Linked DNA regions of Drosophila melanogaster. The protein of the gene in region 1 interacts with the protein of each later gene in a pairwise test. Each region holds a gene or a part of one and is shown on either strand. Other genes may lie near its edges.

Evidence for each region. The genes of interacting proteins can lie anywhere in the genome.
Region 2: the proteins of Arl6IP1 (region 1) and slgA interact in a two-hybrid assay, tested with the Drosophila melanogaster proteins (one large-scale study listed by BioGRID).

Annotation. Positions count from the first base shown.
Region 1 is NT_033777.3:16,641,880-16,645,730, reverse strand, and holds Arl6IP1 (ADP-ribosylation factor-like 6 interacting protein 1), read right to left. Parts: upstream 2,127-3,851; 5' UTR 1,847-2,126; coding exon 1,823-1,846; intron 1,714-1,822; coding exon 1,348-1,713; intron 1,184-1,347; coding exon 980-1,183; 3' UTR 560-979; downstream 1-559. Other genes in the region: CG10324 (uncharacterized protein), read left to right, coding at 1-557; nonA-l (nonA-like), read right to left, coding at 3,511-3,851.
Region 2 is NC_004354.4:21,372,496-21,377,311, reverse strand, and holds the start of slgA (sluggish A), read right to left. Parts: upstream 3,001-4,816; 5' UTR 2,572-3,000; exon of another isoform or gene 2,491-2,571; intron 1,891-2,490; exon of another isoform or gene 1,819-1,890; intron 1,203-1,818; exon of another isoform or gene 1,193-1,202; 5' UTR 1,108-1,192; coding exon 646-1,107; intron 1-645. UniProt on the Drosophila melanogaster protein: Converts proline to delta-1-pyrroline-5-carboxylate. Involved in the conversion of proline to glutamate, which functions as a transmitter at neuromuscular junctions. Glutamate deficiency could possibly account for reduced motor activity.

The DNA of each region.
Region 1 (3,851 bases):
CTTACAAATATGAAGACAAAAAAACGTACAAAGACGAACATCGCAGGACGTACAAAGACGAGCGAAAATCGTACAAGGAAGCCAAATCTAACAAAGAGGAGGTGGATCGAGAAAAGAAGTATGTGCGGAGTGGTAGCTCCTCTGTATCTAAACGCGAGGAACGTGAGCGTCGTCGTTCGCCGAGTCCCAGAGGCAGAAGCCCATCTAAGTCGAAGCGGGAAGACCGTGACCAAAAGCGTTCGCAAAGTCCCCGAAGCACCAGAAGAACAAAGAGTAGTTCAGACGAGGCAGACGATACGGGAGAGTCCACCGAGAGCGACTCCGACTCTGCATATGAACGCAGGAAGCACAAGAAGAAATCATCCAGCCACAAGTCAAGAAAACACTCAAAGAAGTCCAAGAACAAGTCGAGAAAGGCGGACAACGACTCCAGCTTAGAGAGCGATGACAGCCTCGGTGAAAACCATCGTCGTCACCACAGCAAGCACAAAAAGAAGACCAAGAGGAGCAAGCATGTCAGGTCCCGCACGCGATCAAGGTCAAGAGACCGTCAGTGATTGATCTATTTAGTTGAAATCTTTATTTAAATATAGTTCATTAGACGCTTAAGTTCCTTTTTTTATCTTACTTGGGATTATCATAAATTTCAATTAACTCACAAAATAATCACAAAAATGCCTTGTCTTTTGTTGCGCGTTTTTTTCTCTCTCCGTACGCCTCGTTTCGAGAATACTTCTGTCTTACATGTTACAAACTTATAGTAGGAGATGTGATGGGGCCAGAACCACGGATTTGCTAGTTTTCCGAGTTTTTTTTTTCTGTATGCGCTGCTCTTATCTTTTAAGATATTTATAGTTTCAAATTCAATGCGCCTAATGTGTGATTTAGTGATGCGATGTGTGCATAATGGCAAGTAGATGACTTAGGCATGTTTTATATTTTTGGTCAAATGGTGATGAGTTTATCTGGTTGCTTTCCTTTACTGCAGCTTCCTTTTGCCGCACTGGATCTTCTCGTTAATAATCTTCGAGGCCCTTTGGGTGATGGCCTTAAAAATGTCCTTGTTCTGTAGTCCTGGCCACATGAGGATGAGTAGGGTGGCCAAGTACATAAGCAGTAGATTGTTAATGATGGCTCCAATCCAGGCCATAGCCAAAAGACCCAAACTCATGACGATTACAAACTGGAATCAAAACGAATAAATGTGAGATGAAATAATAATAGAACCCGAAGTTTTTATTTACACTTGAGCTTGCAGAAGAAGATCTACTGCACATACTAGGCCCTGAAACTGCTTCTCTGTTTTCATATACATATACACACACGGTCTCTACCGCATCTACTCACCACTGTGGACTTCCGCTCGTTGAAGAGGTACTCGTACCAGACCACCAGGCTGCCCTTGACGGCGCACACCTGGCCGCACACGTCCTCGAACTTGGCCTCCTGGTCGCCATCCCAGTTGACTCCGCCAAAGATCAGGCGCGACACCATGGGGAATGCGTAGTTCAGCAAAATGCTAATGACACCGAGCAGCGACAGCAGGGTAATCAGCGACAAGTCCAGGTACCACAGCACCAGGTACAGGCAGCTGATGACGCCAAACACCACTCCGGCGTAGTACTGCTTCTCCCAGGTTAGCACGCCGTACGCTCCCACGATGGCTGTCCGGAAAGGCTCCAAGTCGTGCTTTAATTTGTTAAGTGCTCGTTTCTGGAAAATGCCGGAAAATGAGGAATCATTATGATATTAACTAATGGGGCTTCAATGGCGACGCCGTTTTCCGGCCGGAAAGCTTTCGGCAGTTCCACCCTTCGCTCACCTGGTCAACCTGCGATGCTGCCATGCTGGCTTTTCTTTGTTTCCTAGCGGTGCGCGTTCAATTCCGAGAAATCTATTTGATGCCCAAAGGTGTTGCTTTCGGTTTGAGCGAAAAATCAATTTTCTTGGGTGTTTTTTAAGTCGCCAAAGTCGCAGTGTGACCGTTGATCGACGTTTTGAAATGACTGATTCAGGGGTTGTTTCACTCAAACAGCGATTGCACTTTCAATCGGAACTTATCGAATTTTTCCCTTTACAACTCTGTTTTAAAAGTTTGTATTAAAAATCTTGTATTGATTTGGCTAAAATCTGATGCTAAATTCTAATGCCACCTGACATTTGGGCTTACATTTTTGTTTAAAATCTTGACAGCATCCTATCATAAAATATTGATTTACTATATCATGATTTTTATAAGCAGAACTAAAAGCCCATAAATGGCTTAATAAAATAAATACATAAATCAAAAATTAAATTGCCGTACTATTCAATTCGAAACTACAAAAATGGAAAGCAAAGCATCATTTTGGCTTTTGCTAGTTAATCAAGCAAATCAACAGCGGCTTACTTAGATAATGAACTCAAAGCCACCACATCTTGTATTATATGCAGATAAAATGTTGTAAATATAGATCTTAAATTCTTATATCAATGGCACGGAATAGCTTTAGTTTATTGCTAAAAATTTACTTCAAAAGAAATTTGTACTTAACTATCATGAACTTTAACGAAGCTACAAAAAAATATATATATATACATATATACGTTTGGACAAAATGAAGAGTTTCCATCTGTTTCCATCTCGAGGAAATTCAAATTGATGGTTATACCACGGGTAATTGAACTGAAATCTTTGATTGCTTCGGTACAATACAATTGTGTAATTGTTGGGTGAATGGGAGGAGGGTTCATACAATAGTTCATTCTGTTGATCAAATAAATTCTTTTGTTTAAACAAGTGATTGCATTTTGACCTAATATATGGACAGCGTCGTGGGACTGAAGATACCGGCGGAAATGTGTCCTTTCGGACAGCCTTGCAACTTATTGCCGGATTTCCCAATAGAGCTGATGGCATTTTCCGACTTTTCCGCTTTAACACATTTATTACCAACATAAATTCCCAGTGAAACCTTAGGTTAGAGCCGTTTTTATTAAAAGTAGACAGAGATGGGATGAGAAATACATTGAAATAAAAGCAAGTCCGATTTCGATTATTTACTCATAAATCAAAGTATAATCTACGATTATAAAAATTAGGCTCTTTATCTATATTCGACTCCAAATAATCAGTAATTTCAGTCGCATTCAATATTTAATTTGAATGATAGACAAAAATTAATCGTGTTAGGAGGTAGTCTCTACATATATCTAATGGATGATGGATGGTTATGTTCAGGTGTTTTTCTTCGAAATACTGCACATCTTGTAAGTTGCCATTCGTGTTTGGATTTTGTCATTTTTGTGTTAATATTTCGTGGTGGATTTGTTGTTGAGACCGTTTTTAACAGTTTTTGGTTAATTATATAAATTCAATTTATATTATAATGAGATGAATGCATCTTCGCTTGCATGATCCCATTTGTTATTTATGTTATTGTTCACGCATAGCCGAGCGAAATGTCCGATATTATGCGTAACTAATGAGATCACTATTGTTTTCGTCGCTATCTATATAGGTTTCAGTGTCTAGAAGCGTCGGTGTCCCCATGAATCAATGTGTCCGTGTTGGTTTCCGTCGCTATTATCTGGACCTCCAGGTCCAGCCATTGTTGAATTGTTGCTGTTGTTCCCAAATACTTCAAAAGGGGAATCAAAGTGTTCGAATCCAGAGTTGCTGCCTCCGAATCCCTCCTGCTGATCGAGGATCATGTTGAGTTTCTTGGCCTGCATTAGCAAATCGTTCTCCTGCTGACGGGCTCGCATATCCTCCTCATGGCGAAGTAATTGGTTTTGATAACGATGCATGTATTCCTCTTCCCGCTTTCGAATCTCCTCGGCTTGTTTCTCACGCATCTCCCACTCCAGTT
Region 2 (4,816 bases), on another chromosome or scaffold:
GAAGCAGGGCGGAAAATCGGAAGGAAAGCAGCCAGCCACCTGACACGGGCTTCGGTTGCCCGGAAAATCGGAATCAAGCGAATGGAAGCTTGGCAGGATCGAAAAAATTCATGAATAAGACAAAAAAATTCATGAATAGAAAAAAGGAAGCAAACAAAAAAATTAAATATTCTTCTACGTTCAGTTTCAGACAACTTTAACATTATACATACATGGAATTCAATAGCCCTAGCTGTTCATAACTTTTGTTTACTCTTCAAGTGTCCAAGAATCCATGTACATGAATATATTTAAATAAAGCATTTTAAAGGAAGTATTTATAAAATAAATGAATGAATTATAATAAGTTGAAAGCAGCAGAAGAGGACAGAAGAGGCGAAGAGTCAGCACACACTTCGAGAGTTGAAACAAATGGTTTCGAAATCGGTCACTATCTAAAACGATACTTACTTAATTGTAATATTAAGAAAGCATTAAGCAGGGGTTATGTACTAACAGAGCCCCAGATTTCTCAGCAAACAGAACCAGAAACAGAGAGCTAGAGAGAGAGAGAGAGATCTCAGCTAGTCGATGGATTGGACCAATTCAAGGGTCAAAGGTCGCAGGACTCGGCAGAGGAGGAGTGGGGGACACCGATTAACTCACCGTCATGTTGTGCTCGACCAGCTTCTCGCTGGAACATATCATGTAGACGAGATAGGCGCGTATTAGCTCTCCAGTGGTCTTGCTCTTGAAAGCAGCAATCGGATCATTAAAGCTCACGTCCAGGGGATCCCTCTGCGGCGAGCCAGCGGGCGAGGGGTTCTTTTCCTGGGACGACTCCTGCTTCATCGATCGCTTCACCGTCTCGCTGGAGACCACCTCCGGTTGGACCAGAGTGGAGGCCTGCAGCGGCCGGTCGCCGCTGTGCAGGAAGCGCGCTCCATTGACTCCTCTCGTGGACTCCGATGCTGCTCCTTCTCCGGCGATGCTGGTGCTCCCGCTGCCGCGCTGATGGAAACTCCGGCAGGCGGCGACGGCCACGGAATTGCTCGACTTGCTGCTATTACGGCCGTAGACCAAACTGATGGCTGTTCGTTGGGCGCTCAGCGAACGGAGTAGAGCCATTACAAGGGATTCTGCGGTTTATTTACGCTTTCTGCTCTTCGGCTTTTGAGACGGTTATTGAAACGCACTCCAATCTCGGTTGTTGCTGCAAAAAGAAAACAATGGAAAGCAGAGGTAATTTCACTATTATCTCTACAAATCACTACGAATCTGAGGGAAGACAGTGGCGTAACGAAGAGATTACTAAAGGTGGTTATCTCGTTTTCAACTCGATTACAATAACGTTTTAAAAAGTGGAAATGTGGTACATATATAACAAAATTATTACGACTGTTTCAAAATATGCATTGATTTTCAATAAGATCATATAGAATTGATTTAATTGTAATTGGATGATATCTAATTAATATAAAAATAATAAACAAATGTATAATAAAATTCAATTTATAAAAATATTAAAATCAGTGTACATATTATTATTGCAACTTTTTGCCTAATTGTGTTTTTTGCCCCCCCACAAACCCCACGCCAACGCCAATGATCACAGCTGATTTTGTCGGAGAGCTTTTCGCTCTCCCTCTTTCGCTCGCTCCGAATGTTATACAACAAATGCGAAAAACGTGAGGCGGCGAGGGAGAGCGAAGCCGAAAAAAACAGCACAACACAATCACACGTACGCAAGTACACCTTCGAAATGTTCAATTAAAAAAGTCAATTTCTGGGCAGAAATCTATCTTTCGCTATTATGTGTCTTTTGGGTTTTCTTCTTACTTCGTTCTTATTATTTATTCTATTACGCTTTGAGCGTTGTATACGCCGCAAAAGCACGAAACCAAATGCGACGAAGACGCGTGAAAATGGGGCGAGTTGTTAAGCGACGGCAAATTCAACGAAGCGAAACGAGGAAGGACCCGAGGGCGAGAAAATCCTTTTCGCCGCTTCGCTCCCGTTTATGTAACTGTAAATGTAACCGAGATTGTACCGTAATTGTAACTACGACTGTGTGACGTCACAGGCATGCCAGCCCCGTTTGCTTCTGATTTTGATTTTGATTTGGAATTTGTTTTGATTTAATTGAAATGCGCCGAAAGCACACACTAATTGGTGTTAATTGCGGCTCTCCTTGATTCTCCCCAATTTTCGTTCTCAGTTTTCCACCCATTAACCCCTTTTCCCTTTTTCATTTTATTTATTAATTAGCAGCCCGCTAAATAATCGCCAGACGGGAGGCTGCAATCAATCGAAAAAACTTGGCGGGTTTCATTGCACAGATTTCATTACACTTCATTATGGGCTATATCAAGTTCTGTCTCGCTCTGGCCGCCTTGGTTAAAGGGAAACAGGGAGCTGCCGTACTTAAATTGCGAATTCATCTGAATGGTTTTTTTTTTTTTGTTTTTTTTTCTTCATTTTTCTTATTTGTTGCTATGCGGCGAATTGTACCTATTATATAACACTGCTTACTGCTCTCTACCTCGCTTTGTAGAGATCCTTTTATGATACGAATACAACGCAGCCACTCACATGTACACTGCAAAATTTCGCTTGGGTTTGTGGGTTTCCTCTATTTGCTCGATATAAATTTTGCTTTAACGGTTGTTTTGTCACTTCAAAAAAAACAAACTACGATACATAACCAGCAACGACCCAAAAACAATAATAAGGGTAAACAATACAATTTTGTAGAATTTGTAGAATTGCCAAATATAGTTTTTCGGAAAAACTCGTGTTTGTTTGACAAACTTCTCACAGCAGCCTGCGAGAAAAGTAGAAAAGTTCCCGTTTCTGTCAGCGCATTTGCTCACCTCACAAAAGACACACAAGTACAAGTACAATTATAATTATTTTTCGGTTTTTTCGAGTCAATGTTGTTCTTTTCGAGGGTTTTTGGTTTTTGCTGCTGCAACAGAGAGCGTGAGCACGCGCAAGGGTCTGAATTCGCGAATAAACTGAAACACATGAAGCGAAATTAAGGCCAACACGGCGAAAGCTCGTCCAAAAAAGCTTGAGAGAAATTGTTGGACCAGTCGGTGAGGGGCAGAAAGGGGATGGGCCACCCCCAGCAGCTGTTTGGGCTGCACGTGAGCGAAAAAAAGAAACCCGATCGAAAATTAATCGCCATCTTGTCAACTCTTATTACCCAATAAAAATCGGCACGCTTATCTAGGCCCCTGGCGGTTGGCCGGGAATCTTCGGTGCTCTTATCTTATCAATGGACTCCCACACCAGCGTCCAACAAAAACGAACCATTCCTTCTATTCATCTCTCTCCCTGTCTCTTTCTTGACAACCGGCGTCTTGCAACACTGGCCTCGCAAACAGGCTTGCTTTACACCCAGATCACTGGAGAAATATATCGATACGAAATATACGCTCGCAAAATTTGAAATTTAGTTTCAGGTACGAAAATTATTCAAAATGTTTCTCTGTGTAAAGAACGCTTATCGTGGACTCAAGAAAGTATCAAACAGATTTATTTTAATTGCACTATTTACGCAAATATAAGGCCACCAAATGAATATAAGTTTTCTAAATCTTTCTAATCGGACCCTCCCAAGCCAAATATTTCCTTTTGCTGTGTGCCGAAAGAAGGGATTTTAGAAAAGTTTGAATTATTGTTAGTTACAAAATTGAGTATCCGAACTATTTGTTACTTTCAGCTCGCAATATAAATATAATATAAATATCGATAGTTATCGCCGTCTCACAAATCTACACACCAGCGATCTCTAAAAATGTCCTTTGGGTTTGTTTTAAGCGATTTTTTCGGTTACAAATTTCAAACATATTACTTCGTATAAAATCTTTTAAACTGATTAAAATTAAAAACAAAGCGATTCGGCTTGTGACACTAACAAAAAAAAACCTTTTACGTCTCAATTTACTTTACTTTAAAATTGTTTATAGAAAAAAGGTAAGAAAGTTAAGAAACATTTATGGCATCAAAGAAATCATGTTAACGTAAAAAAAAACTACAAGAACTATATGCACTCCATATTTTTTAATATACACAATGTATGCGTACATAGATACCAAATTGTTCCCGTATACTGATTACTTACTGGCGTTTCATAGATAAATATTGCAAAATTGGCTCTTCAAAATGAAAATTCCAAGTTTCCATTTTAAAATGAATATATTTTTGTTTGCAAATTGTTTGCGTTTCGACAAATATAGCAATAAGTTACGACTACATATTAGAAATAATAATAATTAACATTTAATGAGCGACCGCTGCTGTTGATTTTGCTGCTTAGCGAACGCGGCCCGAAAAAGGAGAAACTTAACAAGAAAAAAACAGAACAAGTTATTTAAATACCAAATATATACATAGATATATGCGTGTGAAACTGACTCGGGTCTCCTCCTACCGCCGTCATAACAAACAATACATAATTCGCTATCGCCGCGACTCTCTTCTCGCATTCTCTTCGGCTGGCTTGATTTTCTGTTATTACATAATATTATTGACTAAATTGTAGATCAACGAATGTCTGTTTTTCCATCTCCATTGGGCACCACCAGCAAATAGCTTTAAGCATCGTAAGTATCGAAAATGGGTGCTTAACTTGACCGCAAGACTATCATAAGGGCGACAAATTCAGTTTAAGGTTTTCGATTGATGCGACAATGTTAAAACAATTGAATATTAATGCACAGTTGTGCGGATATGAACTGAATATTTTGGATATGTGTGCAACATAGCCCGAAAAACATGTAAAACCTATCTATATATGTATGTAAATAAAATATAAAGTATTATTCCTCAG